Linked DNA regions of Schizosaccharomyces pombe. The protein of the gene in region 2 binds, or shares a complex with, the protein of the main gene of each other region. Each region holds a gene or a part of one and is shown on either strand. Other genes may lie near its edges.

Region 1 (8,540 bases), 490 kb from region 2:
TGAAAAGATTTGATGAAATGTCCTGGTGAAAAAGATGGATGTTTTTAATTACTAAATGTGTATATCAAACGTAATGATGAAAAGTTATAATAAAAATTCTACTTTTCTTAAGTACTTTTGCAATGCGAAAACTAAACGAGTTTGCCAAAGCTATACCTTTATGTTTGCTTTTTTTTAATTCAGGACAATATGATAAGTAAATTGAATCATCATAATGGAAGGCATGTCGAATGAGAGGCGAAGACTCCCAGATAAACAAGAAAGGTAATTTTACTGACAAAGCACACTTGCCAGCAATAACCTGGAATAAAAGTAAACAGTGACGTCCAAATAAATGATCAAAAAATGCTTTTTTCAGAAGATTCATAAATTGCTGCACTGTTGGAGGAAATAGTTGCTCCATAAATGGGTATGTAATCTTTTTGTAAAGAAGGATGCTTGAATTTTGGTCTTTTAAGAAGCAATGAGAAGCAGCATTGTTTTTAGATTGATGAAATACTGCGATTTGGGTGCAGAAACCGTAAGTAGATGATGGGCGAAAATGTAACAAATCGTCACCATCTATTAGATCATTTAGCAAACCACAGCCCGTAAATTCAACAGTATACTCTGGGTATCTTTTACAAATTTTATAAGCCCATTTAGCAAACTCTTTTCGATCCCATTCAAAAACGTGTTCAGGATGTCTAAAATTGGTAGAAGTACGAGATGATATACTACTTGTCAAGGTTGATAGTTTCTCAAAGATTGTGTTAAATTCAAAATTCGGAGTTGACACTACGCAAACATTGGGCTTCAAGTTTCCAAAAACAAGTTTTTCAAAGGCTAAAATCTCTGCAACTTGACAATGCTCAATAAACTCTGAAGCTACAACCGCATCAACATGTTTATAATGAGTAAAATCTTTAATATTACCAAGCAATAATTCAATATGTAGCGGTCGCCAACGTAGTTGTAAAAAGTCTTCGGTTCTAACCTGTAAAGCCTCAGTAGCTCTTTCAATACTTTGTTCGTTAATATCAATACCGGCCAGAAATTCTATAGGCACTTGATCATTGCAAGGTACTAAATATGATAGAAAACGAGCATCTCCACATCCAATGTCTAACAAAGATCGCACAGGGAAGCCTCCTTGAAGTATTTTAAATAATTTCCTTCGACGCTGTACATGCAAAGGTGGGTAAAAGCTAGAGACACCCATTGTCTAAACTCAAAGTATTTTTGGTACACTTTCTTCACGTTAGTCAAATAACTACCTATTAACTGTGAATGTTCGTTTCAAAACCACTATTTAAGCCTTTTCAAATTCATTACGAAGCGAATTGTTATTAATTCTTTGCTAAGTCCATTGCAATATGATTTCGATGACTGCCGTTAAGACACCGAACCAAATTTAATTGAAAAGGGAATTGTTGACTAGTGCGAAGTGTCATTTTCAACGTTAAATAATAAAATTATCTTAGCTCCGAATCTATACTTTTCAATTTCCTCTTTAAAATTGTTATAATAGCATGATATTTAATTACAATAAAATATGTAGCATTATGCAAAACGAGAACAAAAAAAGCACATACAACCAGCGAAGAGTAGACGAAAATTATACGGCAAATTTCAAAAGAATGTACCTATATCCATTTTTTACAGCGCTCATCATAGATGACCATTTACTCAGAAGCTCCTCGCCGAGCAAGCATATCGGCTTGTTGATTACCGTAATCGGTACTGTGTCCTTTCACGTACTCTAGCGAAACATTTCTGTCACTCATCAAATCTGAAGCGCGGTTGATCAAATCCAAATTTTTTACAGGTTGTGAATTGCTAGTCTTAAAGTCATTTTTCTTCCATTTAGGCAGCCATGTGGTTAGTGACTTAATGGAATAATTGCTGTCAGAGCGGATGGTCAAATCGCCAGATGTATTTTCAAGGGCTAGGATTATGGCTTGCAATTCCGCACGATTGTTGGTTTGCTCTTCCCCAGCCAACGGTACTGAAATATTTCTTGGGTCATCATTTCCGAAAAAAACTCCACAGCCAGCAACAGCTCCTTTTTTCCCATTTCGCAAACTAGAACCGTCAGCATAGACGACCTGTCGATCCGAGCACGCAATTGATTTTTCATGAGTGTCATTCGAAAATATTTCAATATCTTTTTCGGTACTATAACTTCTAGAAATTTTCTTTCTATATTTATCGGAGTGTCTAGCAGAGTAATTTGAGGAACTAGAAGAATATGGAGAGTACCCATAACTTGTTGTACTGCGGCGATATGGGCCAGAAGACGAGGAGTAGCGACTTCCTTCGGTCCTGCAAAATTCCTGAGCAGCCTCATAGCTGTCAAATTTCTTGTAGCGATTACCTCCATAACCTTTCACCTGATCCGACGCCTCATCCCTAAAAATTAGTAAGAGTTTGTTAAACAACAAGGTGTATCCATCAAGGAAATGTTAATAAGAGATCATCTTGAAAAAACCGATTCAGATTGAATTGAAGCAAAGCATACGACCGTATCGAAACTTGCTTAACGTGAAACTTATATTTAACAACGAAACCATTTTCTTGAGATACGCAGTCTTACCATGTACTATATATACCAGTATTTCGACCACGCGCTACTGCATAGTATGCACGCTTATTTCCACCCATTTCGTAATGCGAAGATTCAAAAATAGCTTTAAAATAGTAAAACTTAGTAAAACTTGGGAGTTTTTCCCAAAACTTTGCAAAAATACTTGTAGTTGACAAATTGAGCTGTAGTCTTATGAGTTATTGAAAATAGTGCAGAAAAAAGAAGGATTTGGATTTATAAATTTATATTAATTTGTAAAAGAGTTCAATTGACGATTAATAATGGTAGAGCATCAGGAAATGTCACATATCTGGACTACTGCAGTACGATACATAATAAAACGGGTTTGCTTATTTACTAGCTGCATAATCTCTGCACACTATATTACGGTAAGCTAGTTAGATCTCCGCGACTGTTATACCGCCTGACATTAAAATTAATACACAATTGATAGTATATTTTATTAGTTAAAAGCTCCTTAAATATAGAATACTCATTTTATGTCCTTAGCTCATTTAATGTAGTCTAATTTCAAACAAGCAGAAAAATGTATTGTTTGTTTAGTAATAATTGTTTAAGTCATTTTACCTTTTTAAGATTATACTTTCATAAAGAATCCTCATCTCTGTTGGCCTCTGAGTAGTTTGCAAATTGCGCAATTGTTATTCTAAAAAGAATCTTTTAGTCAGAGAAAAGATTATGCTTTTGCAGTGGGTATTGCCGCGCGTAGCAGAAAATTTGTAAACTATTCCACCATGTGCCCTTTTCAATTTAGTGCTAATTAAATGTTCAGTTTTGCGGACTTTAGCGTTCACTTCAATATTCCAGAATTCATATTTAAAAGAAAAGTTTTGAGAAAGTTTTCTTACTTTGTTTTATCAGCTGTATATATCATTTAGAGCTGTGCTTTATGTAACCATCATTTCGGTTACAAGGTTGGCATATGAGAATATACTCATAATAGCTACCATCTGCTTACTGAATAAGAGCATATTAAAATGTGAACCGATTTAGTCGTTTATTGTGTCGGTATACTATTTAGCAGTCGTATAACTCAATACATCGGTTAAAGTATATTAAATATGTCTTTAAGTTCTTCTGTATAAAATTTAACAAAATTTTAAAAACACTCATAAAGTATCACTATTTTCACTAACTTTCACCTCTCGAACCACGCTTTCCTTTTGTACATAGTGTTAGAACCAGCGTTCGAATCGCCCTTATGGATTCACTCATTCGGCATTGCTCAGAAGAAATTGCTTTGGATGGATCATCGGGATGTAGCATAGATCGTTTATGGGAATTTGCTGCAAATTTTTTTTTTCGGCAAGGTATCGTACAAAATTTAGACGATAACTATAAAACATTTGTGTGGCCTTTAATTTTAAAAGAAGATGGAATTGAGGTTTGGATTGAAGATGAAGATGCCACTGGATTACGAAGTAAAATGCAAGAAATCCCTTGGAATTACCAAGATATCACGATTGAGTTACGCGCTCGTATACGCTTATTCGCTTCAGAAGACAGGCAATGGCTTACTCTCACTTACAAGACGAAGACAGATTCAAAAATTCAACCTTTAGCCTTTGAATTATTGTCTTGCATATCTAGATATAGGCAGGAAGGTGTTGATAGAATCCAATTATGTAAGGAGACTAAGCAGGAGCCTCGAAGCGTTTACGGTCGTATTCAAGCGCTAGAAGATGCTTCTTTAATATCAAAGGTTGCCATTAATCGAAGCAGAGCACAAACTGCTCTGCTAGTTCTAAAGCGATTTGAGTCAGAGAACAGCACAATTAACGAAACTGTTGCTCAGGTATCTGGTAAGCAAATTTATAACACTGAAAAAATTCGTAGCAATATATGTGATGCTGTTCAGTCTTCACGTAACGGAATTTGCCGTCATGTTGATGCTCGTGCGATGGTGAATTTAAACCACAGTCGCTGGGAACGAAGATATTATGCTCGACAAGTTACATATTTACACAATAATGGATACCTTCGCAAATGCCTTACTTTTGTTCCTAACTCTCCAGAGCGTTGCATTCGCTGTTTACAATTTATAAAACCTTACATTTCATCTTTAGACGCAACTGAGGACGACGTTGATTTTACTGAAGTGGATGATATTCCAGAAGACGATGAATTAGAGGAAGAAGAACCACTCCTTCCGTCAAAAGAAGAATTTGATGCTTCCTTTTTGCAGCCACTAGCCGACGTTGGACCTACTCTTCCCCAATGGTCTCGTTTTCGTCCATTGGAATTCCAGTGTTTTGTCTTAATCAGAAATGCCGGATTTCATGGGGTAATCACTTTACAAATTTTGAGTGGCCTTACAGGAATACGTTTTAACAAACCTTTATTTAAGCTCCTTGGTTCTTTAGTGGAACATCGTTCCAGTGTGCCAAACCATCTCTCACACATGAGTATTACTCGATTTGAAGATAAAACTAAAAAGTCGAGACAATATAGATACTTTACGCTTCAGTCTCAGTTAAATCGCCTTATTCGAGATGGCATTCCTGCCGAAACAATTTCGAAGCTATTACCTCACGTTCACTCACTCGCTGGTGAATTTTCTCCAATTGACTCTTCCCTTTTCTTAAATTCTCTACATCATAAGGGAAATATGGAATCTAATGCGGAAGTATCTCCCGACGGAATGACTTTATTGCCAAGAAAAAGAGGTAGACCTAGAAAATCTGCAAATATTTCTGTAACCTCATCTCCCATTCGGCCCTCTAAAAATGAAAATAATCTACCTTCCCTTGCTATTTCACCAGTTTCCGAAGGGTTCATCCAAAATGCTACAATTTCTACCCCTAGCACTAGTAGCAACCTAAGCATAGCAGGATCTTTGACACCCTCGAAAACGTCACGAATTTATAGAGGCCTTGCTCCTCTAAAAAACCCAGAATTTAATGAAGACCATGTTAAAAAAGCAGAACATTTGGAGCCTCTTTTGAACGTGTCATCAAGTGTTCCTTCGAAGAATTTCACGGTTAGTTCGCCAGATCACCTAAAATATGGAAACACATCTTCTTTACAAGTCTCTGATTCTCAAAGCTCAATTGATTTAGACTCTTCATTTCATTATCCCGTTTCAGTAGACTCACAATTATCCCATTCGACAGGCAGTCTAATGGCTAACTTTTCATCCCCTACGAAAAAGCGCCGTTTGGAATCTGTAGACTTTATATTCCTACAACGTAAAGGTTTAATTCTTTCCTATCTCGTTGAACAGAATGGGGCTTTTGAAATATCTCGAAAGATGTTTGAAGACTTGGCAGACCTTAAAGTGCGACGAAACCCGGAAACTTCTAGGACCGTTATGGATAGGAGAACTTTTCAGCAAACCCTTGAAAAATTAATGCAAGAGAAAAAGGTTCGTAAATTAGTGATTGCAACAAACAATGGACTTGGGAAGCTCGTTAGAAAAGATATCGTGGTACAATACGATATGAAGCCTGATTCACCTAGGTTTCAACAGTTAAGAGCTCAAATTACAACTCCTGAAATCGAAAAACAATCAACTCCAGAAATATTAAAAGATGTAGATGTCGATTTTTTGAAAAGGAATACTTCTTTGTCAAGGCGTAAATCTATGCCAGCGGAAATAAAACGTCACAAGGAATCTTCTGAGACTAAACCTGTTGATAAAGAGGAGGTGAAGAAAAATGAAAAGGAGAAAGACGATCCAATGAGACTCGCGCAACAACTTTTAGAATCATTGGCTCCCGATTTCGCACTGCACGAAAATACCCAACAGAAAAGCCCAGTAGAAAAACCTAAAAAGTTGCGGAAAGATAGATACGCTTCAGTGGAGGAATTTGATTATTTTTCTTCAACTGAACATGCAAGCAAACGTTCAGTTAAACGCTTCAAAAATGATTTTACATCAGATGAGGATGAGACCTTGATTAGAGCGGTTGTTATTACTCAAATTTATTATGGTGGGACCAACAGATTAATCAAATGGGAGGCTGTACAGAAATGCTTTCCTAACCGGGACATATATGCTCTTACTAGAAGATATTTATCCATTAGACAACATACAAAATTTAAAGGCTTGCAACAGTTTTTATCAGAAAATTGGCAGCAAATGTACAAAGATGCTGTCTCAAGAAAAGATTTAATGCCATATCCTGATTCTGTTGATGATTTTGATCCTACCCCATATGTTAAGGCGTCTTGTAGACCTTATATGATTAGTTCTTCAAATCTTGCTACTACTAGGTTACCGAGAGACCTCGTTGACGTTTATGAAACTTACAATATAGAGGTTGTTAAACAAGAAACTAATTTCCGGGAAATGATATTTGATCCTTCCCTGTCAGTTGCCTCGAAAATGAATGCGTATTGTGATATGCCTTTTACCATGCCGCTTTCCTTAAATGACAAACAAAATAATGAAGGGGATGAGAATTGTGAGAAAGGTCAGTTGTTTGATGCGAAGTCTACTATCAAGAGCATCGTTGCCATCCCAGACGCTACATATGATGCTCGGTTTTCGCAAGAACGTCTTATGCAGTATCCAGAAGATATTCTCATCGCTGCTCATCAAGAATTATTGGATAAGAGAATAATTACTAGAGTTAATTCAGAAAACAGTAGATTGCAGCCTGGTCGAAACTTCCAGTTTACGGAGAAATTTGCAAGTTCCCTCAAGTCTCCTTTACCTCCATTTTTATTGTCACAAGCCAAGCGATTTAATAAATTTTTATTGGAGGGTTTTCAAAATCATAAGAATCATTTATTTGAAGAAACATCTAACAGTGGAACTCTCGCATGTATCCTTGATTTATTATCTCAAGGAAAGTTGCAAATATCTATAGTCGGAAGCAAGTTTAATGAGTATGGTCTATCTGAAGGCTATCGTACTCGTTTGCTAGAACATGACAATATCAATGTAACTCTTGTTCTCAGCGGCAAAGAAAGTGAATCTAAAAAAAATTATGGTGTTACTGAAAAGTTGGCAACTCCACCTTCGCATGAGCCACGGCTATGGTTAAATGGTAAATGCGAGCTTATTGAGATGATATGGATGAATATCGAGCAGTCCATTGTATACCAACTGCTTCGAAAACCCGGAATCTTGAGATCCCAACTGACTAACTTACTATTTCCCGGATTAGAACCCCGTGAGTTTAACGAAGTACTTGATTACTTTATAGCAGCAGGTGCCGCTATTGAAAAGGATGGCTTATATCTAAACCATAATTATCTCTTTAAATTAACTTAGCCTTTTAAATGTCACCATGATGAGATGATGCAAGCTGAGTATTTTCTTTCAATAGGCTTGTCGATTTGGAACATTTATATTACAAGCAACGATTTAATGTTTATTTGTACAGTATTTAGGATTCATTTTTAAATTATCTAAAAGATACCACGCTGTGTCTGCTTCTAATCTATAATTAATTATATTAGCGTGTTTTGAATTAATCTGATTTCGCGTTTTCTTCCATCTAAACTTTATATCGTATAAAAATCAAAAAGGTTTCATCGACTGTTTTGCTGAAAAGGTGAAGAAAACTTGAATCGAGGTTATCTCTTTTCTTTCTGTTTTATGTACATAACTTTAGCTCCTATAGAAAAAAGAAAAAACCTGCATCATGTAGATTTGTTTAACTAATTTACGTATGCATATATATATATATATATATATATTAGTAGAGTAAGGTTGATTTTCTAACCATACTTTATTTACGGTAGCATCATTCGTACCTTTTCGTACGTTACGACCACGTTGAAAGTTTTCAAAGAAATTACTTTTTAAACACAAAAGAACATAAATAAAAGAGAAGTAAATATGTCAGACAGTCCAATTGAACTTATGCGGTCCACGCTTGCTGGTTTTCAAATTGCACCAGATGTGAAAACCATCTCAAACATTCAAGACATTCGCGCACAGATACAGAGCTTCAGAGAAAAAGAATTGGAAGGATCTCAAACCAAATTTAAAGGTTAGTTT
Region 2 (8,540 bases):
CGATTGAATACTGTGCTACTCTTTATGTAATATAACGAATTCAACTGTTCAACGTATGTGACTGCTCTCTGCTTCTCGGTATATATTTACTTGAAGGAATTAATTTTTCTTTGCCAATGGTCTCTTTTACCAATTGCAGTCTGGCTTAAAGCAATGAGGTTGTAATTAAATGGCTTGAGACCTAGAACAAACACCTTTTACAATCCTTGTTTACTGGTTTTGATAGTAAATTCGGTTCGCTTGTGGTGTACATTATATTTTTTAGGCTAGTCGTGATTTTTTGATAATATCAATATTCTTAGATTTGAGACATTCATGCTTTTTAATTTGATCAATCGTTTGTATCTTCATTAATTAGTAGGTGGTTTGATAGAACATTTAGTTGCTTGTTTGACTACAAATATCTGCAGAATGGATTCGGTTAATAAAAAAAATGTTTGAGGAATTAATTTTCGCTTTGGAGTGGAGGAACAAAACAGAATGCGTAATTGTACTATCACATATGTTTTATTGAATATATTTTATTTGTCCAACCGTACTGTTGCTAGAATTTGTAGCTAGTTGTATTGAAACTGACATCTGCTTAAAAACAGTTGATAATTCGTCCCTAATCGTTCACTGTTTGCGTTAAAAAATGCGGTTATGAGGTTTTAACTCAGCAGTCCAAAAAAATCGTGTTTGCAGAAAGAAGCGTTAGATGCTTTTCATACGCAAAAAATCATAATTAAATAGGTAAGTACTAAGCTCAGGTACTTTGAATAGTAAAGTACCCATGACACAAACAAGCATTCCATGTAGATATATATATATATATATAATTTTTTTTTTTTTTAGTAGTTATAACTTATTTATTAACGTGGATGAATCGTTCAAATAAAAAAAAATACCATATAATAATAATGATAATATTACAACGCATAAATAGGCTTGTAAGTCAACAAATCCAATTAAAAATAAATAAATAACAACAAAAATAAAAAAAAAAAAAAATTATAATAAATTTTAGAACGTTATGCTAATTCTCATTCTATCCTCACCCTGTGTACCAGTCCATACTACGTCATCAAATGTAGCAACCTTGTTACTTGATTTTTACTTCTTCTAAGTAGCAGGATTTTAGAACGGGATTTGTTTTTTACTCCTAACCTTTCGTACAGGCCAATTTATTGTCAGACGACTTTTTCAAAGAAAAGACTACTCTATATTTTTTTGTTTCCTGCGTACTTGTAGTTCTTCTACTTAACGAAAATCATGTTTGGTGCCATCTGTGCTGGTCGATTAGGTATGTCGCTTCTCTGGCACTTTCGCACAATTTTTACATTAAACGAAGTTTTTTCACGCTAGAAGTTCAAAAATAAAACTTAAATAAATGTTTTTATTATATACACATAACTAATACACAATCTAGTGCAAACGAATTTGCAACAAGTCGCCGATAATCAATTTGTCTTCCAACTAGACTCTGCGGAAAGCTTGAATCACATTGTGGTTTTTCTTTTGCCAAACTCTCCATTCCCAGTCGGAATGGGTGCTAAGGTTTACTTTCAATGGCCTGGAAAGCCTTTTCAATTTTTAGGTTATTTGACAAACGAAAAGCCTAGTGCAATTTTCCGTTTAAAAAACACCATACAAACTCTTTCGGAAAATGAAAATTGCGTTGGAATTACTGCCATGTTAGGTATTAGTGTAGAGCCTTTGACCAATTTCACAGAAACACCAGCTGTAAGCACTTCAGCATCGAATGTCATCGCCAAACCCTTACCTCCCGTAACTTCTGTTGCCCAAAAAATTTTAACCAACTTATATAATTTCCTAGCAAGCTTTGCGACATCTCAACTTCCTCCCAACTCCATTGGGTTAGGTGACCTGCGGCCCAATGATACATTCATACCACTTCGAGTTTTTCAGGATTGGCATGCAAAATTTTTAAACAAGTTATCAAATAATCCAAACTTTTTAGATTCTGAAGATCAGATTTGACATTTAGGTTGAATGCCGTTTTTGAACCTCATTTTTATTTCCTACGAAAATTACCGACATGGTACATAAAACCATATCTTAATGATGCAGAAAAAATAGAATAGAATACAATGTATGTGTTTTTCTCCAAAAAAAAGTGATGAAACACAAATGCTAGATCTTATTTATAAAAAATCGTATATATTGTATTAATAAAGGATAATTTTATCATCTTCTTTCAACGGCTGAGAGATCTTCAACTCGTAGGATTCCGCAAGCCATACCACTAGCTAACCAACCAGCATAACCTTTGTTTCCATTCCACTCGACTTTGTTCACTTGGATTTGCCATGGATAAATATACATGTCTAGCTTTTTGGCTTTGGGAAGCCTTGGACGAAAACCATCTAACATACGATATGAATCCTGTTTTTCGCTATATTCTAACTGGAATATTCTATGCACATTAGCTTTTTGTTTGTGAGAGAATCCCAAAAGACGGAATGGATTGACGATCGTAACTATTCCATCCGAAGCAGCACACGCTACAAAAGGATGGAACTTGCTGTTTGAGAGAGATATTATTGAGCCGTTTCTTTCATCTAATAACTGTGTCGAAGTGCCTCGTAAAGATTCGATGACCACAGATTGAGATTCGCTACAGGAGATAATCGACTGCAACATGTTGTTCCAAGTGATTGTGTAACAAATATCTGATATTAAGTTAGTTCGGAAGAAGCTATAATAATAATAATCGTACCTCGTTTATGAGAAAGCGGTCTATTATCAATTATGGGATCGCGAATATCAAATATTCGAGTATAACAATCAAATGCAGTGGTCAGAAAAAGCCACGGAAAGTCATCCAGGCACTGTACTACATTATGTATGTAAGAATCATGATATGGGATGTAAAAAAGGGGACATTCCTGGCTGCTCAAAATATCCCACAGAGCTAAATAACCTTATACTTAATTAGTAACAATAATTTAGTTTAACAGGCTTACCGTTAGAGCAGCCGACCAAAATTTGATGTATATCGCCATGTTCTGGGGAAACCCATGTGCAACAAGAAATAAGAGAATCATTAAATCCAAAAGTAAAGTCTGCTTGTTCGACGAATACTAGTTCATGTTAGGAGAATGAAAAAAAAAGATGTTTAATACCATGAAATTTTACTGGTGATCGAGGTACACGAAGAACGCGCAGCTTTCCATCGCTGCAGACAACTGCTAAAAACCCAAGAATGGAATCTTCAACCGAAATTGTGGGGCACCACTCTAGTTGAAGAACACTTCCCCAATCATGGTACAATATAAATTCCGACTTAAAATTGGTTTTGTTTTCTAGTTTCCAAAGTTGAATTTGATTCCGTCCAGAAGTTCGCATAAATACTGATTCAGTAGTTTCTGAAAATTTTAGCATCCCTCCTACAGCTAAAAACTGTGTTTCTTTATTTGTTGGTAACCATGAAACAGACGATAAAGGAATCCCTGTATTCACCACAAACCCCGATTTCTGTGGATTTTCCTTAAAAGGGTTTACCGGTTGACAGGGTTCAACTTGCTGTGGTGATTCAAAATGGAAACTTATGCTTAAATTTTTAACTTCAAACAAATAAAAAGGATTTTCGGAATATGATAATAACTGCTGTCCGTCGAGATTCAGAAGTGTTTGCAACTTGGAATCAGACGACGTCTGACCTTCAAAGGAAGATTGACCAGGAGCAGTCTCATAATATTTCCAAATTTCGATTAGCCTCCTTCCTTTATTTAAAGATTCAACGTGAGTCCCGTAAGAATTTATTAACTTCTCTTCTAAACCTTTTGAACTTTGCTTTTTAGCACTTCCACGAGTAGTACTAGAATTCTGACTCTTCGGTTCATTCCCAGCGCCTTTGGAAGATGAAGGTGTTAAAGGTTGACTTCTAATAGGTTTTGAGGGGGTTCGACGAGTAGTACTTACCCTTTTTCGGTTTCTTGACGGTGTTTCTATTTCTATGTCTTCTTCAGACATAACGTTCTCTAAAACAAAATCGCCGTCATCATCATTATCTTCATCGTTTTTATAAGAGCTTGGATTTTCGTATTCCTTAGATTTAGGGCCCATACGCGTCAATATTCATTAGGAATGGTGGTGAACTTCATCAAAGCAATATTGACCTAATCAAAACCTCGTTTGCAAGTGCTCAAAGAAAATATTTATTTCAAATAATTATTCCACTTTGAAAAAATTAATTTGTTAAAAAATCCCAATTCTTAATTTGTTGCTGTTCGTCTTGGTTCAGCTCAATCCTGCTTTAATTGTGAGTGTGAAACTTAGACTTAACTTCAAACATTTGTTGGTTAATACGAGTCCATGCAGAAACTTCATAAAGAATAAATTTTGCAAATAGTTAAATTTATTTTAAGTATTTAACACATTCAATGAAATTCGATTGCTCTTTTTACCAGCCTATCTCTCCTCATTTTTAGTTCTGTTAACACGATTTTGTCAAAGGAAGTATTTCGGTAATCGAAAAAAATATATATATAGTTATATTGAATCTACTAAACGTTATGTGAAATGTTAGCTCAATTTCACTGGTAAATATGCAACAAATTTCTTTCAATTACTACGGGTTTGCTGAGAGCATTATTCTGACACTATTAAAGGATTATAGGGAATAGTATGTGATGCTACTATTAAATAATTTAATCAGTAGTTCAAACTTAATATTAGGAACCTCCTATAGCAGTTTTTTCTTGATCAAATCTTTAAATTTTGATGCTTGGATTTCATTATTTTCTAATTGTTTGTTTAATTTTAAAAAGAATTATCGTTAGGTACAAACGTCTACGGCCATACCTAGGCGAAAACACCAGTTCCCGTCCGATCACTGCAGTTAAGCGTCTGAGGGCCTCGTTAGTACTATGGTTGGAGACAACATGGGAATCCGGGGTGCTGTAGGCTATTCCTAACTTTTTTATTTTTTGTCTTGAATCTTTTAATAATTTAAAATAGTAGCTCCACAACTGACATTACAAATATTATTTGGATAAGGGATAGTGAGTCCTTGAAATTGAGTTATCACATAACGCAATGGTGCAAGACTACTACATAAGCAGCAATAGTAATATTATGTGGTGTTTGATATATCTCAGCTGTTATACATAACCTGTATAGCAGATACAATTGCCAAGCATTACCATGGCACGCCATTCATAATTCCTCTCAATACTTGTTTAGAAATGATAACTTAACTTCTCCATAATCACTTGCAAGAGATTTTATCTTCGAAAGATTGTTATTGCGTTTAAAAGATCGAAATTAAATTATATAAATATATACAAATGCCAACCAAAAACCGTTTGAACCTTAAATTTTACACAAATAATGTTTATCCTATATTGTGTTCCGTTGAATAATGTTCCATTGCTTTTCTGTGCATCAAAGCAGCAATGTCTTTCGATGATTTACTTTTACCTTTATCAACCGAACCACCCTGCTTTCTTGGCTTTGAAGAATTTGCACCAGATATTTTGCCCGGCGCTTCTCGCAAAGCGAAGGACTTAGCAATATGTCCCAAATGAAGGTCACGCATGTTAAAAATACTTCTTTCTGATGAAAGATGTGTTGCATAAGCCCTCACATAAGAAGTAAAAGCCCTTTTTGCAATATTCCTCATAGGTTCATTTTCTAATATAAAACGCTCCAATTCCAACTGCCATTCTGTTGCACGATCTTGCCAATCATTGGTGTTTGTTTTACCTTGCGAAAAACCAGCACTCAACAACCCAGATGGACCATTAGGCTGCTCCAATATATTAGCGCTAACTGAAGACTTTAACAAATTAATATATTCACTTTCCTTCGGGAGTAAAAACATAATAGCTGCACCATTGTGTCCAGCCCTAGCTGTTCTGCCAATTCTATGCAAATAATCGTCGGTACTAAACGGAGCATCATACTGCACAACCAAATCAACATTTGGCAGATCAAGACCACGGGCTGCCACATCTGTACACAAAAGTATATGTGAACCAGAATCTTCACTTGAAGAAAAAAGATTCAGCGTCGAAGTCCTGATTTGTTGAGACAAGGAACCGTGTAATCGGTATACATTTGATTTGCCATCTATTCTCAGAGCTGGAGCATTTGAAATGATATCACCCTCAGAGTCCGGTTTCTCTTTCACGGCCTCTTCCATTTCATCAGCGTTTATCGCACATCTAAAAGCTTCAAAGTGAAAATCAACACTATCTGAACAAGAAAGAAAAATTATTATTTTCTTATATGATCTAACATGACTTCGCAATAGGGCAACCAAGCTTACAAGCCTCAGTTTTGGAGGAACAACAACATATCTTTGAAGAAGCTGCTCGGGTGCCTGGCTATAACCGTCATTGGTTTCCTCCACAATAGATGATTTTAAGTACAAAGCATCTTTTAAAGCGGAATCACTTAAACGCTTTACGGTATCTTTCATTGTAGCGGAGCAAAGCATTGTAACCTTACGAGAAGGAATACTGAGATCCTTCTTAATAATACTGCTTTGTGATTCCAAATAAGATAAAATTTTAGTCAAAGTTTCTTCAAACCCCATATCCATCAACCTATCACCTTCATCCAAAACGACCCATCGTACTTGACTAACATCCAGTGCTTCCGTATTTTCTAAATGATCCGCCAAACGACCAGGCGTTCCAATTAAAATATTAACACCCTTTCGTATGCGAGCCTTTTCACTTTTTTTCTTCTCACCACCTATCACATTACAGGAGACAATCCAGTGTGATAACGGATTATTGTTGAGCTTGTTAGCAACGTTATAAATTTGTTGGCATAACTCCCGGGTTGGAGCCATAATCACAGCATATATACCGCTAGTACGGGTGTGTAAGTTTTTAGGAAGTCGAATCAATCGTTGCACAATTGGTAGTAAATAAGCCAAAGTTTTACCCGATCCGGTTTGTGCTTCAATGAACGCATCCTTATCATCTGTGTTTAGCAATGCTGGAAGACAACAGCTTTGGATAGCAGTGGGAGCGCTAATGTTCATTTTATTATTTAAATGATCAGCCAGTTGAGTATCTAATTGAACACCAGCAAAGTTGGTAGTTTTAATAGGTGCGTTGGATGCCTCCTTTGTAGTCCCAATATTACTAATTTGATTATCCTCAAGATTTTGACCAACGTCCTGTGAAAAATGCTCAGAATCATCACCCGTAAACAAAGATGTAACAAAAGTATTATCGCGCTTGTTGCCTTTTAGCTCATGAGCTGGTTTTCTAGGATCAAACACAGGATTTATTACTTTTTCCTTTTGTGAATTTTTATAATCAGTGGAAGCACCATTTGTGCCTGAATTTCTTTTAACGGTTGATTTTGATGATTCATTAGAATTGCGTTTTTGCCTTTTTCTATCTCTAGCGCGATCAGTCCAGCGACGACTAGACTTCAAGGCTTCAGGCTTTCTTGATTGAGCATTATCAACAACAAAATTGAGAAGCAATGGTTCGTCCGCCATTTGCTTACAGTTGATGAAAATTTGAAAACTTGTGCTTCCACCGTGCTTAGTTTAGTTAATTGTACTCCATTACGCTATGCTATACTAGACCGCGTTAAATACTTGAGACGCATTCAAGTATTCTTCCAAAAGGTCATTTATTACCTTTTTACAGCTATAGGTGATTTAAGTAATATTAAACCTAGAGAAGCACTGTTAAAAACATAAATTACTCCTTCAGTCGGACTTTATTGACCTAATTTGTATTTAAAAATATTAATAGATACTTTGCGTATAAGAATAACAATAAGCGCAATATATATGTTTCTTTATAAGATAATATGCTTCAGGAGGAAATACCGCGCTCATGCACATCTATAAATAACTTTAACATCGAAATTCTTATACGTGTTAAAATGTTTAGTCGAAACTCGTTATTTGTATCCGTATTGACTGTAACGTACATTAACAGTTCGCGTCTGCCATGATGTTTTACGTTTTCACTGGAACGGCATCGGCAGCAGATTTCAATTTAGTGGAAGCTACCAGCTTTTGTTGGCAGATACACGAATTACACGTATAGGACCATTACGTTGTATCTTTTAATGGTTACCTTTCAATTAATCCTTCAAAGTCGCTCCTAACCTCAATTGACCAGCAGTTTGTTGGTTGAATGGACTGTCACTCGTTTTAATCAATTTCTTACTTTGATCCTTTAATTTTTCTTCCTCAAAAGCTCTGCTTTACTAATCGAATAATTAAGAAGGCCTTTTACTCGTTTGGCTGATATATTTTCGTGATGCAGTTGTGTATCATTTCTCTCTGGTTCTTAGCTGCGTTCATCGTCAATGCCGATAATGTTCAGTTTGAGGATTATGAAAGCAATTTTTTCTTCAAGGAACATCTCGGAACATTAAGTCCTTATCATGAGCCCTACTTTGATGGTCTTGATTCTGCTTTCCCTGAAACCTGTGAGATCCAACAAGTTCATCTTCTTCAACGTCACGGTTCCAGAAACCCAACGGGCGATGTAACTGCCACTGATGTATATAGTTCACAATATTTAAATAATTTTCAGGAAAAGCTTTTAAAC

What was found.
Region 1: sfc6 (region 2) and sfc3 share a complex: the UniProt entries of both Schizosaccharomyces pombe proteins name them as parts of the TFIIIC complex.

The regions. Positions count from the first base shown.
Region 1 is NC_003423.3:2,747,127-2,755,666, forward strand, and holds sfc3 (transcription factor TFIIIC subunit Sfc3), read left to right. Parts: upstream 1-3,756; 5' UTR 3,757-3,788; coding exon 3,789-7,808; 3' UTR 7,809-8,035; downstream 8,036-8,540. Other genes in the region: DNA polymerase delta catalytic subunit Cdc6, read left to right, coding at 1-29; hen1 (S-adenosylmethionine-dependent methyltransferase), read right to left, coding at 65-1,201; ribonuclease H Rnh1, read right to left, coding at 1,665-2,391, 2,576-2,643; protein Spc24, read left to right, coding at 8,379-8,532. UniProt on the Schizosaccharomyces pombe protein: TFIIIC mediates tRNA and 5S RNA gene activation by binding to intragenic promoter elements.
Region 2 is NC_003423.3:2,257,742-2,266,281, reverse strand, and holds sfc6 (transcription factor TFIIIC subunit Sfc6), read right to left. Parts: upstream 4,098-8,540; 5' UTR 4,069-4,097; coding exon 3,126-4,068; exon of another isoform or gene 3,084-3,125; coding exon 2,967-3,083; intron 2,924-2,966; coding exon 2,720-2,923; intron 2,673-2,719; coding exon 2,188-2,672; 3' UTR 2,118-2,187; downstream 1-2,117. Other genes in the region: hikeshi family nuclear import carrier Opi10, read left to right, coding at 1,252-1,282, 1,409-1,980; ATP-dependent RNA helicase Dbp7, read right to left, coding at 5,339-7,468; SPOM_SPBC21H7.03C (multiple inositol polyphosphate phosphatase), read left to right, coding at 8,247-8,540. UniProt on the Schizosaccharomyces pombe protein: TFIIIC mediates tRNA and 5S RNA gene activation by binding to intragenic promoter elements.